Caenorhabditis elegans: one gene and its partner. The protein of the gene in region 1 interacts with the protein of each later gene in a pairwise test. Each region holds a gene or a part of one and is shown on either strand. Other genes may lie near its edges.

Region 1 (8,668 bases):
CATTTTGCTTCAAAAAATCTAAAGTAGTCTCAAATTCAGAAAAAAATCGCCAAATTATAAAAATGTCTCTTTTTCAATTTTGACTAAGTTCCCTCCGCTATTTTGAAGGGAATTTGCCAACATTGAAAAATCACGGTTTTACAATTATTGCTTTCTGTTGTTGTCATTATTCTGAATTTGAGATTATTTTGGATTTTCTACATCGGAATTTGAAGCTTACCGAGAGGGTCATTTTGAAGACGATGAGAAGAGCTTGTTGAAAGTTTGAACCTGAAAATTAAGAGATTTTAAAATAATGAAACATGAAAAATAATGATGAAAGGGCACTTTGTATATTGTATTTATCTTGACGTACACAACCACGCACTAGAAGTATACAGTCAGAAAAACGGACACTCTTATCATTTGTTATCACTAAAAAATCGTATCAATTTTTTGAGAATACAACAACGTTTCGTGGTCAATATCAAACTATGTGATCACACCATCACAGAAGAAGGACAAAATATGAAAATGTTTAGAAAAAAGAAAGAAATTTTGGCAATTTTCAGTTCTTTTCTTGAAAAAAATTATTAACTTTTGATAAGACACCGATGGTTTTAGCAAAAGCGTTATTACCTAATCGCCAGCAATTGTTAATTTAAAAATACGGTGCCGGGTCTCGAAGCGACTGAAACTTCACAGCTACAGTACTCGCATGTTCAACAACTGCATAGTTTTTGCAATTAAGTGAAGCTGGTGGGTACTGTAGCTGCAAGGTTTCGATCGTGCCAAGACCAGGTGTCGTGTTGTTGCGTCGAAACTCGCAAAATTCTGCAATTGAGTAATAGGAAAAAGTTCGTTTTTTTTTTTGGGCAAAGAAGGATTTTTTTTTGGTTTTTCGATCTTAAAAACTCTTTAAAAAATTTCAATTTTTGGTCGGAAGGAAGAAAAATTAGATTTTTAAAAATATTTTTTAGTTTTAATAGTTTTTTGGTGAAACTCTTGATCGGGAGCCCTAAAAACAACAATTTTTGATATAAATAATGGAAAAATGGAGGAAGTTGAAATTTTCTCATTGAATGAGCTCCGTATCTTATTAAAAACGGATAAAGGCCACAATTTTTAGACTTTCTCAATTTTGTTGGAAATAGAAATTTGACTACAAAACTATAAAAACTCCAAGTTTCACCCACCAATAATAAAATTGATTTAAAGCCTAAAAATAAAAAAACAGATTGAAATTAAAAAAAAAAAGACAAACAAACAAAGGAAGAAAAACATCAAAGATAAGATAATGGGAATGTGAACCCAAAAGAAGAAAGAAAAAATGTTGACGAAAAAAGAAAATCCAAAAACCATTTTATAGACTTTTTAAAAAAGCAAAACCTGAATTTCAATAAAACCGGAAAGAAACTTAGACACGTAGAGAACTTAGAGAAATCATTACTTGGTGACGTCATGGAGAGCTTTAGCCAAATATGCAACATTTCCAGTATTAATACCAGAAATAGAAATACGTCCATCATTTGTCAAGTACACTGAGTGCTCTTTGATGAGCTTTTGAACTTGTTTCTCATTGATTCCAGTGAAACAAAACATTCCAATTTGATTGGTAATATGATCCCAGTTGAGAGTAGATCCTTCAGCTTTCAGGCCGTCTTTTAGAGCCGTACGCATTGATTTGATACGGTCAGCCATTAGTTTCACATCTTCCAGCCTGAAATAATCATTTTTATAGATTTCGTTTTTCCAATATTTCAAAAATAAAAAAGATCCATTTTTTTGAAAAATAGCTAATTTGCCCATTATTTAAATATTTTTAAAAGCAAATTTTCGGCAACTACAGTACTCTTTAAAGGCACACACTCTTTGGAATTTTAGAAAATCAGTCGCTTAGAAACCGGTTTTTCGCAAATCTCATTTTTTTTGGTCCAAAATTATTTTTTTCAGTTTCTGATCTTTAAATTTCTGACTTCACAAACTCAGAAACTCCTACCAAGATTTCTTCAACTCTGGATTACTCAAAATCCGTGAAGCAATTCTTGCTCCATGAAGTGGTGGCATTGAGATCATTGGACGAATGATAATTCTCATTTGAGATCCAACACGAATCGCTTCTTCAGCAGAATCACAAACAATCGAAAATGCACCAACACGTTCTCCGTACAATCCCATATTTTTTGCAAATGATTGAGCAACGAGAACATTGTGTCCTTGTTCTATGAAATGACGAAGAGCAAATGCGTCATCGTCAACGTCTCCTGATGCAAATCCTTGATAAGCCATATCGAAGAATGGAAGAATTTTTCGTTCTTTCAGCACTTGGCTCAGCTTTTTCCATTGCTCCTTCTGAAAATTCAATGAGTTTTGAAAAGTTTTATTGAGTCTTCAATTTAAAAACTATTATTTTTGTTTTAAGTTAGTTATCTTCACAATATCTACAGTGCAAAATAAAATATTAGGTGAGATTACGGTATCTCGTCACAAAATAAGTTTTTTAGCACTCGAAATTTCGCGCTAAAAATACGGTACTTGGTCTTGACACGAAATTTTTTTTTGTTAAATGCGAAAAGGTATGCGTCTTTGGATAGTACTGTAATTTTAAACTTTCGTTCGCATTTTAATGAATTTTTAATACTTTTTCTGAAGATTTGTTAAGCATTTAGTGCTTCTATTTTTTGTTCGCTTTTTTCAATAAATACATTTTTTTTAATGGCAAAAAAGAAAAATATTTGAAAATTCCAAAGCGACTAAAGTTTGAGATTACAGTACTCTTTAAAAGCGCACATCTTTTCGCATGTAACAAAACGAATCTCGTGGCGAGACCGGGTACCGTATTTTTGGCCCGAAATAATAACAAAACAAAACATCACAACAAAGCAACATACAGTAGGATCAACACCAGTTGGGTTATGTGCACAAGCATGCAAAAGTATAACAGATCCTTCTGGCATCTTTGAAATATCTTCGAGAGCTCCTTCAACATCAAATCCAAGAGTTTCTTGATTGTAGTAACGGTATGGTTGAATCGAAAGACCAGAATTTCTGAATAGAGGAGGTGAGGGTGAGAAGTGGACAACAAGCAACAGAAACAGAAATTAACAGGGGAAAAAATACAACAAGTGCATGGAAATTTTGATTTTTTGCTTTACGGAAAATCAAAAAATCGAAAAGTATGGTTCTTCGATTTTCTCTTCAAAAAAACCCGATTTTTTTCCTCGATAAGAGTGTAGCTTCTTTGGAAAATCTAAAAACAAAAAAAAACATTTTTTTCGAAAACTATTTAGCTACAAGTTTTTAAAATTAAAAGCTGCAAATTCTTGTTAATTTTCAATTTTTTTTCGATTTTTTGTTTTCCCGAAAATCGAAAAATTTTCGTTTTTCGACTTTTCGATTAAAAAAAATAGATTTAAATTTTTAAAAAATATGATTTCCGAAAAATAAAAATAAAATTTTAAAAAATTTACCTAAAAACTGGCAAATGATTAGCCCAAGTTGGTGTTGGATAAAACAAAGTCTTGGATGGAATAAACTTTTCCACAAATTGTCCTCCAATTCTCAAAGCACCAGTTCCGGATATCGATTGAGTTGTGAAGACTCTTCCATCGCGAATCACTTCGGAATTGTCGCCGAAAGCGAGTTTCGCAGCCAATGGCGCAAATTCTGGAACTCCAGTGATTGTTGAGTACTCTTTGTCCATTTTAGCATCTATAATTTGCTGCTCAGCTTCGCGGACCGCTCGGAGCACGAATGGTTTTCCCTGAAAATAGAAAATTACAATAATTTGAATATTAAATCGAGGGTGAGACGGCAATCAAAAATTTTTGGACATCGACATGAATCGAGTTCAAAAATTTTGAAAAAAAAAACTCAAAAAATTTTGCAAAAAACTAATTTTCACTGTAGTAAGTGTTTTTGGTGAAGAAATATAATTTTTCCAACTTATTTTCATCAGGGCTGTGACACTTTTGGTATTTTATTTGGTTTATTTGGTTAATCGACGAAAAATTGATTTTTTGGTGTTTTAGAACTAAAAAACCAAAAATTGTTCACTTTTTAACGGTTTAAAAAAAATTAATTCAAGCATCATTTTTTTTTGGGTTTTCGCAAATTTTAATTTTTTTTTCTTGGTCCCAGACCCTAATTCTCATGATGAAAATTGGATTTTTGGCAGAATTTTCCAAAATTCCGCAACCGACACTTTCGACAATTGCCGAGTTTTAAAATTTTCGACAATTAGCCATTATTGCCGCGGCCATTTTTTTGGGTTTTTTGTTAGAATATTAACGAAAATCGTATTTTAACACCAAAAAATTCAAAAAACTAACTTTTTTCACTTTAACCACTTTTTTTTTGTGAAAAATAGAAAAATGTGGGTTTTTTTAGGTCTTTAATAATTTTTTCGAATACTATTCATATTTAATAAATATTTTTCTTTTTAATGCTTTTTTGGTTTTATCACCGGTTTCAATTAATTTTTGGTCCGAAATTACAATTTATTTAATTATTTAATTGCAGCCCTGAAATTCCGGCCACTCGTTTCAAAACTTTTTTTTTTTTAATTCTAGAATAAAAAATTCTGAGCATTTCCCCCTTACCTGATCATCACGATATGCTCCAACTCCTAAATTAATCTTATTCGGATTCGTATCCTTCTTGAATGCTTCAGTAACTCCTAGAATTGGATCAGCAGGCGCTAGCGGCACATTTCTGAACCACGGGAGCACTGGTTGAGCAGTTACAGTAGTCGTTGACATGAACCTTCTGAAGAATGCCAGCATTTTCTGTGTGCTGACAATTTTAATTTAAAATCAATAGAAAATGGAAACAAAATGATAGATATTAGAATATGAAGCTGCCACGGAGCTTACAAGGAAGTCGTGAAAAAAATCAGAAAAAATAAATAAAATTCAAAAATCGAGGATTTCATTGAAAAATAAGAAAAGTTTGAACACAAAATCAAGAAAAATCAAGAAAAAATATATATACAATAAAAACACAACCTTCGGTTAAAAACTATTATTACATTAGAACATGATTCGATATTGACCTTTGCATTTTTTTAAGGTTACAGGCGGAATAATGGGTTTTTTTGTAAAATTTGACAGAATATAGTCTGAAGACACAGAATATAACGGTAAAAAATTTATAGAATTTTCCTAAATTTATTATGATTTTTTTTCAATTTTTCCAAAAAATTTTTGGATTTTTTTAAAACAGTTATAATTGTAATTGTTAGACTTTTCCTGTCATTTTAGAGCGAAAAAATCCGAATTTCCGAAGCAAAATGACTGTTCGATCAATATCGAAGCTGTTTAGGCAGTGGAATTAGCTGTGGAACAATACTCACAACCACAAAAATCAATTTCCGATGGATCAAATCGACGACTGGGGAGCTGACAATGATGACAGCGATACGAATTGGAGTTATTCTCTCTGGAACAACGATCACAAATCCATGGACCCGTACTGTTCTCCTGACTGATTGAACGAGGTGGTGGCGGTCCTGAAACAGGAATTGGAAATTTAGGTCGATTGCTAGACAATGGTATTTCGGAGATTTTACAAAAAGATTGGCAGCAGGCGACAATTTTTTTTGGAAATTCTAAAAATGGCCTATCACGTTTTTCATTGAAAATTGGTGTGAAAATATAGAAAATCACTTAATTTATCAGAAAATAATAATCTTTTCAACTGAAATATTGGAGAAAGTGCTCGGGATTGGCAACTTTCAGGTAGTTTTTGAGCACTTTCTCCAATATTTCAGTTGAAAAGATTTTTATTTTCTGGTAAATCAAGTGATTTTTTATATTTTGAGACTATTTTTCAATGAAAAATGTTGAAAGAACATGGTGCAAAAGAACATAGGTCATTTCGTAGAATTCCCAAAAAATAATGAGCTTTCATCCATGATTAGCACTCACTTGGAGGTGGAACTCCTTTTGCACTTTTTGCTCTCAACCTTTTTAATTTTTCTTCCAATTTTCGAACAGTTCTCTCCAATTCTTCTTCATTCGTCGCGGCATCGTTAACCAGTGTATGTGGATATTTTGCATCAAACCATTTTTTGAGCTCAGTGACGTCATTTGTGATTAGATTTAGTGATGTCACCTCGTTGATTACCCGTTGTTTTCCTTGCTCCAGTTTAGCCGATTGAGCTGAAAAAAATAAATTGAGAACAGATTTGTCGTTTTTTTAGTTTTCGGCTTTGCTCCCAAAAAATACCCAAACACACGGACGAAATGAATTACGAAACATTTTATACACTATTTTTTTTTCGATTTTTTCTCATAAAACTTGATGGAAGAATCTACGAAAAAAAACTATATTCGTGTCGAGACCAGGTCCTGAGAATCATTTTTATATTTCTACCTTTCCGGAGCTCAATAATTTCATGTTGATCTGGTATCAAATAGTCTCTTTCATCGTGATTATCATCGTGATGAACGGCTAAATGATCGAATCCACTACCAGCCGTCTCATTTCCAGATCCAGTATCAAGGCTTAGAGGAGCAAATGATGGAGTTTGTGAAGCTGAAGATGATGAGGCAGTAGATGATGGATACGGAGGTAGAGCTGCTGCATTTAGAGCCCAACCATATGGTGGATCTGCAAAAATTATATTATTTATATACAATAAAAGAGGATAATCGTTTGTTTATGGTTGAAAAGAAGAAGAAGACAAGTTTATCTAGATTATCCTTTGTTGTTTTTTATATTATTTAGAGAAACGGGAAATTCAAAAGAGCAGTTGACAGTATATTCAGTCATCTGCATTTTTTCTGATAGACTCTAAATAATTTACAAAATAGCTGTTAGAAAGTGAATTTGTATTTATAAAAAGGTTGCTGGATCTTCGAAAATGCTTGAATTTGATTTTTGTAAGCTTTCCGAAGGGATTCGGTTTTTTATGAAAAAAAATCAATTCTCACTTGGTATTTGCTGCTGATGTTGTGGATATGAGAACTGTGGAAACCCGGTTCCAAATCCAGGATGAACCGGAGGATACGGAGGATTCAGAAGCACTGGTTGATGAGGCATTTGTGGATCGGTAGTACTACTTGAACTAGTACTTTGAGCAGAATTGGTCTGTTGAGCAGAAGGAACAAAGGTCGATTGAGGCTTCTCACTGTGGAAAATTCGTTTACTTATCCGTTCGACCTGGAATTAACAATTTTCGAACTAATTCGAAAGTTATTCCGAGAAATTTAGTGGAAAAATCAAAAATGAATCAATACTTCCAAGAAAAAAGGTGAAAAGTGTGTGTGTTGGGAAGAACAATGATTAAATGTATCGAGAATGAGTGATAATGGAGGGCTTGCCCTCCCGAGAGGGTGCGAGTCGACCCGTTTTTGATAATGATACGTTCGAATGTCCATTATTTTACTTTTTTCTTTATTGATTGATTTGACATTTCTTGGAGCCAATCTTGTATCAGAAGCAGGGGTGCGCGGAAATTGCCGGCCGGAAATGCTACAAAATGAAACGGTTGGGCATGTTCCCCCGATATGTTTCATTAAACTTTAATGATAAAATATAGAAAAATATTCGCTTTATTCGAAAATAACTGTTGCTTTAGTAGAAAAAATTGGAAAAATCTTGAAAAATAATCTGAATGTTGAAAATTGCCGAAAACTTTACGGCAATTTCCGCCAGAAATTTTTAAAATTCGGACAATTTTTTGAACACTTTATCGGTTGTTCCAAGTCAAATAAAGTAAATACATATTCTTCTACATGGTAACATCACACTTTAATAAAAAATATCGGGGGAACATGTCCAACCGTCTCATTTTCTAGAATAACTGGTCGGCAATTGCCGCGCACCCCTGGTCAGAGGTCTCAAGATTTTTTGGTATTTTTCCAAAAATTTCCAACCTTTTTATACAACTTGCTCAAATCCGTCATCTTGCTTAAATCCTTGCCTCGACAACTCGAAAGTGACGATTTCTTCTGTGTTGCCATCAAGTTTGCACCCCCTGAAATGACTTATCTTATCTTTTTTCGATGATGTAAAAACAACGGAGCTGATAAGTTGACAACGAAGGAATATAATAATGAGAATTTTTTTTTATTTGCTTTAAAATATATTATACTTTTTTGCTACTTAGTAATAAAAAATCTTGGTTTTTCCTTTAAAGAAGTTGTTCAATTGTAATATATTGGCTTTAAAAAACAAATATGAAATGCTCAAATTTCGAAAAATTATTGTTTTGATTGATAATTTCTGCAGAATACATGCAAAAAGACAAGTAAAAACGAACATTTCCCCAGTGCAAACATAAGAAATGACGCCCGATTGCGTCCCACCCTCCACTTTTCCAACTATTTCGCATATTCCCTTCTGCGCCTGGGCCCACAGCTGAATTGATCGTGTGTGTTGGGTGCGAGTGAGAGAGTGTATACATCTCTTTTTCTCTGTTTTCTCCTTTTTTTGTATCTCCTGAATGTGTTTTAATATACTTTTGAAATAAATCACTTTGTATAAATATATGTTTTTTTTGTTCGAAACCGCAGCTAAAAAATTAAACAATATTATTTAAATCGATAATTTCAGTAAAAACGGAGAACGACGTTAAACCATGAATGATGACGATCCAACCACCGTCGTCGTCATCAGCAACAGAGTTTTGTCAGCCAGACGAAAGCACATTCCTTGTTGGTTTTAATAGGGTATGTAGATTTTT
Region 2 (6,600 bases), on another chromosome or scaffold:
AGCTGATTTTTTCAAAAATTCAAAAGTCCTGTAAAATCATATGGAGTCATTCTTTTTTATTTCATAAAACTCTTAAGCATAGTCAAAATAGCAGCAGATGCCGAACAGAGTATAATAGCTTGTACGGGTGTTTTTTTTTAATTGATAAAAATATATAAAAGCTGATTTTCAAAAAATTTTTCGGGAATTTGAAATGATTGAATAACACATCTAGCTTGAATAATGTTTAACTAAGTATTTTCCACAGCCATTACCAGCCAGCAACCATCTCCGCGGAAATCGATTTCCGGGAAGAAAAATGAATTAATGGCTTGAAAATAGTATTTGTATATTAAAAATATATAAAAGCTCATTTTTTCAAAAATTCAAAAGTATGGGAAAATCATATGGAGTCATTCTTTTTTATTTCATAAAACTATTCAGCATAGTCAAAAATACCAGAATCTGTCAATCAAAGTATAATAGCTTGTACGGAAGTATTTTTTTAAAAATTGATAAAAATATATAAAAGCTGATTTTTTCAAAAATTCAAAAGTCCTGAAAAATCATATGGAGTCATTCTTTTTTATTTCATAAAACTATTCAGCATAGTCAAAAATACCAGAATCTGTCAATCAAAGTATAATAGCTTGTACGGAAGTATTTTTTTAAAAATTGATAAAAATATATAAAAGCTCATTTTTTCAAAAATTCAAAAGTATGGGAAAATCATATGGAGTCATTCTTTTTTATTACATAAAACTGCTCAGCATAGTCAAAAACACCAGAATCTGTCAATCAAAGTATAATAGCTTGTACGGAAGTATTTTTTTAAAAATTGATAAAAATATATAAAAGCTGATTTTTTCAAAAATTCAAAAGTCCTGTAAAATCATATGGAGTCATTCTTTTTTATTTCATAAAACTATTCAGCATAGTCAAAAATACCAGAATCTGTCAATCAAAGTATAATAGCTTGTACGGAAGTATTTTTTTAAAAATTGATAAAAATATATAAAAGCTGATTTTTTCAAAAATTCAAAAGTCCTGTAAAATCATATGGAGTCATTCTTTTTTATTTCATAAAACTATTCAGCATAGTCAAAAACACCAGAATCTGTCAATCAAAGTATAATAGCTTGTACGGAAGTATTTTTTTAAAAATTGATAAAAATATATAAAAGCTGATTTTTTCAAAAATTCAAAAGTCCTGTAAAATCATATGGAGTCATTCTTTTTTATTTCATAAAACTCTTAAGCATAGTCAAAAATAGCAGCAAATGCCGAACAGAGTATAATAGCTTGTACGGGTGTTTTTTTTTAATTGATAAAAATATATAAAAGCTGATTTTCAAAAAAATTTTTCGGAAATTTGAAATGATTGAATAAAACAATCTAGCTGAAATTAATGTTTAACTAAAGTATTTTCCAAAAAATGTTAAATTGTTCCATCACCGATGTTAGATTTTCCAATAATTAAAAAAAAAATTTTTAGGTGCGACCCATCATTGGCTTTTTAGCGGGCCTTCACGTACATTTGGTTAATGTCTCGCTTTTAGCGCTTTACCTGTGCTGTCTAACACACAGAAGGTCGGTGGTTCGAGCCCGCCCGAGATCAGTCAAATGTTTTATTAAAGAAGAATGAAGTTCATTTTTTAACCGGCATGTTCGAAGATGCCGATTCGGTCACCTTGGTCTTCAGCGGCGGGAGCCAAACGAAAAGCTTCGAGTTCCATTCCGCCGGAATAAAAAATTCTTCAGTTGTGTTGTTGAATCCAACAGCCGGGTCCCTGAATTAGTTGAAGATTTTATCTTAATTTATTTAAAAACATACTTTTTGGTAACTTTCGCATCACTCTTCTTCTTCCCAACTTCTCCCGGCCCTTCTTCCTCTTTTAAAATGGGAGCCAACGCTTTTCCATTTTTCAGAGCTTCAATTCCTTCTACAAAGTATTTACGGACATCTCCACAAAGCAAGTATTGCGGTCGTTCGGCAGTTCTCATAACATTCTGCAATTAAAATAGAAGAAAAAAAATGTGAGGCAAATAACCAACTGCAAGCTGTCCCCGAACCATATTTTTGATTGGATCCGTATTCGGATACTCAACCAACAATCGAATCCATCCATTCGCCTCAAATCCTTCGCGAAATCGTTGACGATTATCTGCCAGAGTGTTGATTGGTTTATCATCAACAGCAATAATAGCTTCACCAATATTCAAACTACAATGTGAAACTGAATCCGGAATAGTGTAGTTGACCACCACTTTTCTGTCGACCTGCTGCACGTTCAGACCAAGCTGCAGGTATTTGAATTGGTAGAGAATGGCCAAATCGATGGTGTGATCCTGTGTGGCTAAGATACCTGAAATTATATGAAAATTACTGTTTCACAATAAGAAACAAATATTCAAACTTACCATTTGGAATCTTAGACGTAGACATTCTGTTCTTCAATCTAGCGACCAGAACCGTAATCTTTGTCTCAGATTTTGAGTTCAAAATCTTTCCGACAACAACCTTGAAGTCTGGATAAAGTGAATGTGGTGCTCTCACAGGTTCAGTTTTCCTTAATAAGGTAAATATTTTTCAAGTTTTCATAACATTTGTCCTTACGGTGTAGTCGTTGGCTTCCTCTTAACAGTCTTCACATTTGACTGGAGACTTGCTCCACCGGTGGTCTCGTCGACATGCTCTGTCAATTGTTTCTCATCGAATGAGACAGTCGTACCGTTCACTTGCAAGATGATGTCACCCGGTAGAATTGCTCCTTTGAATGGGCTCGCGTAATGAACACGAGTGACCAACCCATGTCGATTGACGAGTCCGAGTTGCTGGAAATCAAAAACGTTTTACATAAAGTCATTGATGATGTCGCTTACCGTTATTTTATCCTTCTTTGGGAGCTCAAATGTGGCCTCTACAAGCATTTTGTAGCTGTTTGGAACTGGTTCTCCACGCAGAATGACCACATCTTTGACTCGAGCTTCTATCTGAAATACGTGTTTCTAGAATAGAAATAACTTTTAAAATAAAATTATGTTTCACTACTAGTGTACCATTAAAAAAACCATTAAACCATTAAAAAAAAGAAAGTTTGATTCTATAATAAAATATTCTTTCGAACACCCCCGACTGCCTCAATTACTTAGTTCAAGAAATATTGTTCACAATGAAGAAAAATAAATTAATTATTAAAAAAATCTTGAATAAAGTTCAAAAATTATTATTCAAATTTCTCACTGTTTCGATTCCAAATCCAACTTCCAAATTCCAAAAAACCCCTCTCACCTCTCCCTTCTTGAATCCGGGCCGCTCCCAAACCGTGTCTATTCCCTCTGCACCTTCCGGATAGATTTTATATTTGACTGCAGGTGGAATTTCTTGTGGCATCTTTTCAAGCTATCAAATGCTTTGAATTGAATTTGTTTGATACTTGAATTATCGATTGTTGTGAAATAAATTAGAATCGAGAAGAACAATGATAAGAGGGGGTGGGGGGGAGGGAATAAAAAATTAGAGCAATTGATCGAACGTGAAGATAAAATATCAAAGGTCAGAATTATTAAATCTTTTTCAACGTGATTTTCTAACTTTTTTTTAGAACTGAACTTATTGAGAATGTTTTCGGCATAAAACTGCAAAATCGCGTGATTCAAAATCAATCATTTATGTTTTATGTTTTTTCTTGGGACACGATTCGTATGGAATCGTATTAAAATAAATAAATAAATAAATCGTTGAAACGTGTGAGTTTGAAAATTACTTACCAACGAAGCAAATTAAATTGTGAAATCCAAACTTTTTCACCAATTTCGAGAAACTATAGAATTTTTTAAAAACTGTTACTTTGTGTTACCTTTGTTAAAAAAAAGTAATAATAATGTCTTGAAACTGCATTTTTTTTTGAAATTTTTTTCTGCCACTGCTTGTTTAATTAAATTTTTATAGACACTGATATATTAATCAACAACAAGAATATGAACAATTATTTATTGAATATTTCAAAAATTACACGATTGGAATACATCATAAATTACCCATTTTGATATCAATCACATTATCAGCGATCACCAATTATATAATTACAGCAAATTGAAGAAAAAGAGCAAACAAAACCCAATTGAGAGCCTAAAACCGGTGCCTACAAGACGGGGAAGAATGTTTGAAAGAAAATCGGAAAATAAATGCAAAAAATGAATTTTAAAGGCGAGTGATTACGTCTGGTTGTTCTTCGACCTGTTGGAAAAATAAAATATTATATTTAGAAAAAATGTATCAAAAGTAAATTTATTGCAAAAAAAATGAATTAAAGTTGAAAACTAACAGAAAAAGGGTCAAAGCACAAAGGGTTCAAATGAAAGCACACACTGCACTGCACGAGATCAAAAAGTAGGTCAAAAGTGAATAAATTACAGTATTCCATAGGAGTACTGTATGTTGAATAGTTGTAATCTCAAAATGCATAAAAATTAATATTTAAAAAGAAAAAAATTAAGTTCTAACTATAATAAATAAGTAACACACAAACACAAGTACACACAAAATTAGATAATTTGAGCAAATTGAAACAAATAAGAATTCATTATGAAAATTATTTACAAACGCCAGATTTGGATAAAAAGCGGCAGAACCGGATGGAGCACAATTATACCTGAGTTTCCCGCGAATACACGTGGTTTCTATGGCTCCGTCCATCGCCACGGATTACTGTACCCTGCAGTGGTGATGGTTCCTTTGCATAGGCTGGACGGAAATCCGATGATTGAGACCTGTGAATAAATGGCACACAATAGAGTTACAATAGAAGTACGGTAAGTATATCAGAAGTGAAGCAACGTGCTTTAGAAGTGTGTAAAATTTTATGTGAAAACTTACCAGTCATCAGTATTTACATTCAATGTATGGGGTACATTCTGTGGACGTGTACCCATTGGAAGGTGCATTGCATTAATACTTGAAGCTCCTTGGCTGTCCTGAAATATATTATATTAGAAGGGCAAATGGATAATTTTTTGTAAAAACAAAACTGAAAAGTTAGCCCATAAGTATGTTACCCTTGAGATTTTAAAAATTACTGCTTCAAAGTTTTACTGCCTTCAAACAAAGTGAAAAAAAGTTTTGTTCGAAAAATTTAATGGAATGTTTCAACAACATTATAAATTAATAAATATGATTACTGTACAATTAGTAGTGGGACGTGAACTTATTTTGAGTTTGGTTATTCATGGCTAAAAGCATGAAAAATGTCTCGGATAATGCTAACATTTGAAAACAATTAAATTCTAAATGGAAATTTGTCTGTAACTGCACAAAGTTGCAAAAAGTTGAAAAAAAGTTATTTGAAATTTTCCGAAATTATTGTTTCAAAGATTTTTTAAAAATTGCTGATTATCTTTTATTCACTGGGAGTAGTAATTTCATTTTCTGTCTAGGTTTAAATTATCTAGGTTTCCGATTCTCATGCCAAAAAATTTTAAATTCACATTGAACTTACATCAGGCACACTAGAAATAAGCATCGGCTGCAAGTCATCAGAAGTCGGGTGAATTTTCGCATTCGAATTATTCTTTCCCCGTAGATTTTCCACATTTTTGAACAATTTTCCTTTGAGAATGAGTTCTCCGAATCCTTGTGAATGAGAGAATGCGTAACCACTTCTAAGTGATCCACGGACACTTCGTCGAGTTGCTGCCGTGCGTTTGAATGCGGTTCTGAAAGTATTTATTTAAAAAAATAAATTTAATGAAAATTTCAAAACGTTTAAACGATTTCTTGAATGATAGAAACTAAGTTTGAAATTGAATTATGTATGTGAGTACAATTTTTAATCACTATTTCATGCTATCTTCAAATATGGAGCTTCATCGAATAGTATAGTGCTATTGCGAATTGACCTGATCGCACATTAAAATTTTGAAAAGCGAACATACTTTTTATCATCTTTCGCCGATGGTTTCTTGCCCATTTTCTTTCGAATTCTCAGCCTATCAGCAAATGATGGATGTGTATCAAGCCAGAAGAATCGATTAAGCATAACTGGTAGTAACAGTACAACTGAAACCATTAGAATTGAAAACCAGAAGTGAGGAGTAACCATTGTTCGAAAAGCGACACCATATGAGATTGAAGATGATGTTTTGACAATCCATGAAACTGGAAGCCATTCGTAAAGAAGGAAGCAAACAAGGAAATACAGAACAAGTGATCCCCAGATTACAAAATGCGAAATTGCCGTCCAATAACTCGTGTCGAAGGCTATCTGAAAAATTTGAACTTTTGAAAAAAAAAATTATGTTTCAGAAATGTATCAAATTTTTTGACAAAATTAAAAAGCTTATTATTTCTTCTCAAGTTTCAAATAAACAGTTTCAATAAAAAGATACCCATTGTGGTATATGTTAAATTGTGTATAATTATCTTGTGAAAATGTTGAATTTTTTTTTTCATGATCAGTTAAAAAAATCTGCTTCATAAAATGCATTAATTGGTTGTGGTAGTGTAGCTCAAAAATGAGCGGCAAACGATTGTTTCCGGCAAATCGGCAAATTACCGATTTTCCGAATTTGCCGAAAATTTGAAAAAAAATTGTGGCTTTGCATTTTTTTTTCTGGAAATTT

The links.
Region 2: the proteins of got-2.1 (region 1) and mpz-4 interact in a two-hybrid assay, tested with the Caenorhabditis elegans proteins (one large-scale study listed by BioGRID).

The regions. Positions count from the first base shown.
Region 1 is NC_003279.8:4,636,110-4,644,777, forward strand, and holds got-2.1 (Aspartate aminotransferase), read right to left. Parts: upstream 4,774-8,668; 5' UTR 4,764-4,773; coding exon 4,581-4,763; intron 3,743-4,580; coding exon 3,450-3,742; intron 3,028-3,449; coding exon 2,871-3,027; intron 2,332-2,870; coding exon 1,979-2,331; intron 1,862-1,978; exon of another isoform or gene 1,724-1,861; intron 1,700-1,723; coding exon 1,426-1,699; 3' UTR 1,323-1,425; downstream 1-1,322. Other genes in the region: acbp-1 (Acyl-CoA-binding protein homolog 1), read right to left, coding at 221-232; Y119C1A.1 (RanBP2-type domain-containing protein), read right to left, coding at 5,298-5,488, 5,907-6,140, 6,355-6,591, 6,915-7,143, 7,860-7,946; lmd-2 (LysM domain-containing protein), read left to right, coding at 8,568-8,654.
Region 2 is NC_003282.8:4,823,893-4,830,492, forward strand, and holds mpz-4 (PDZ domain-containing protein), read right to left. Parts: upstream 3,429-6,600; 5' UTR 3,374-3,428; coding exon 3,272-3,373; intron 2,974-3,271; coding exon 2,863-2,973; intron 2,815-2,862; coding exon 2,597-2,814; intron 2,550-2,596; coding exon 2,401-2,549; intron 2,346-2,400; coding exon 2,035-2,345; intron 1,990-2,034; coding exon 1,814-1,989; intron 1,770-1,813; coding exon 1,628-1,769; 3' UTR 1,596-1,627; downstream 1-1,595. Other genes in the region: tat-2 (Phospholipid-transporting ATPase), read right to left, coding at 4,184-4,219, 4,635-4,752, 4,859-4,956, 5,478-5,694, 5,914-6,242.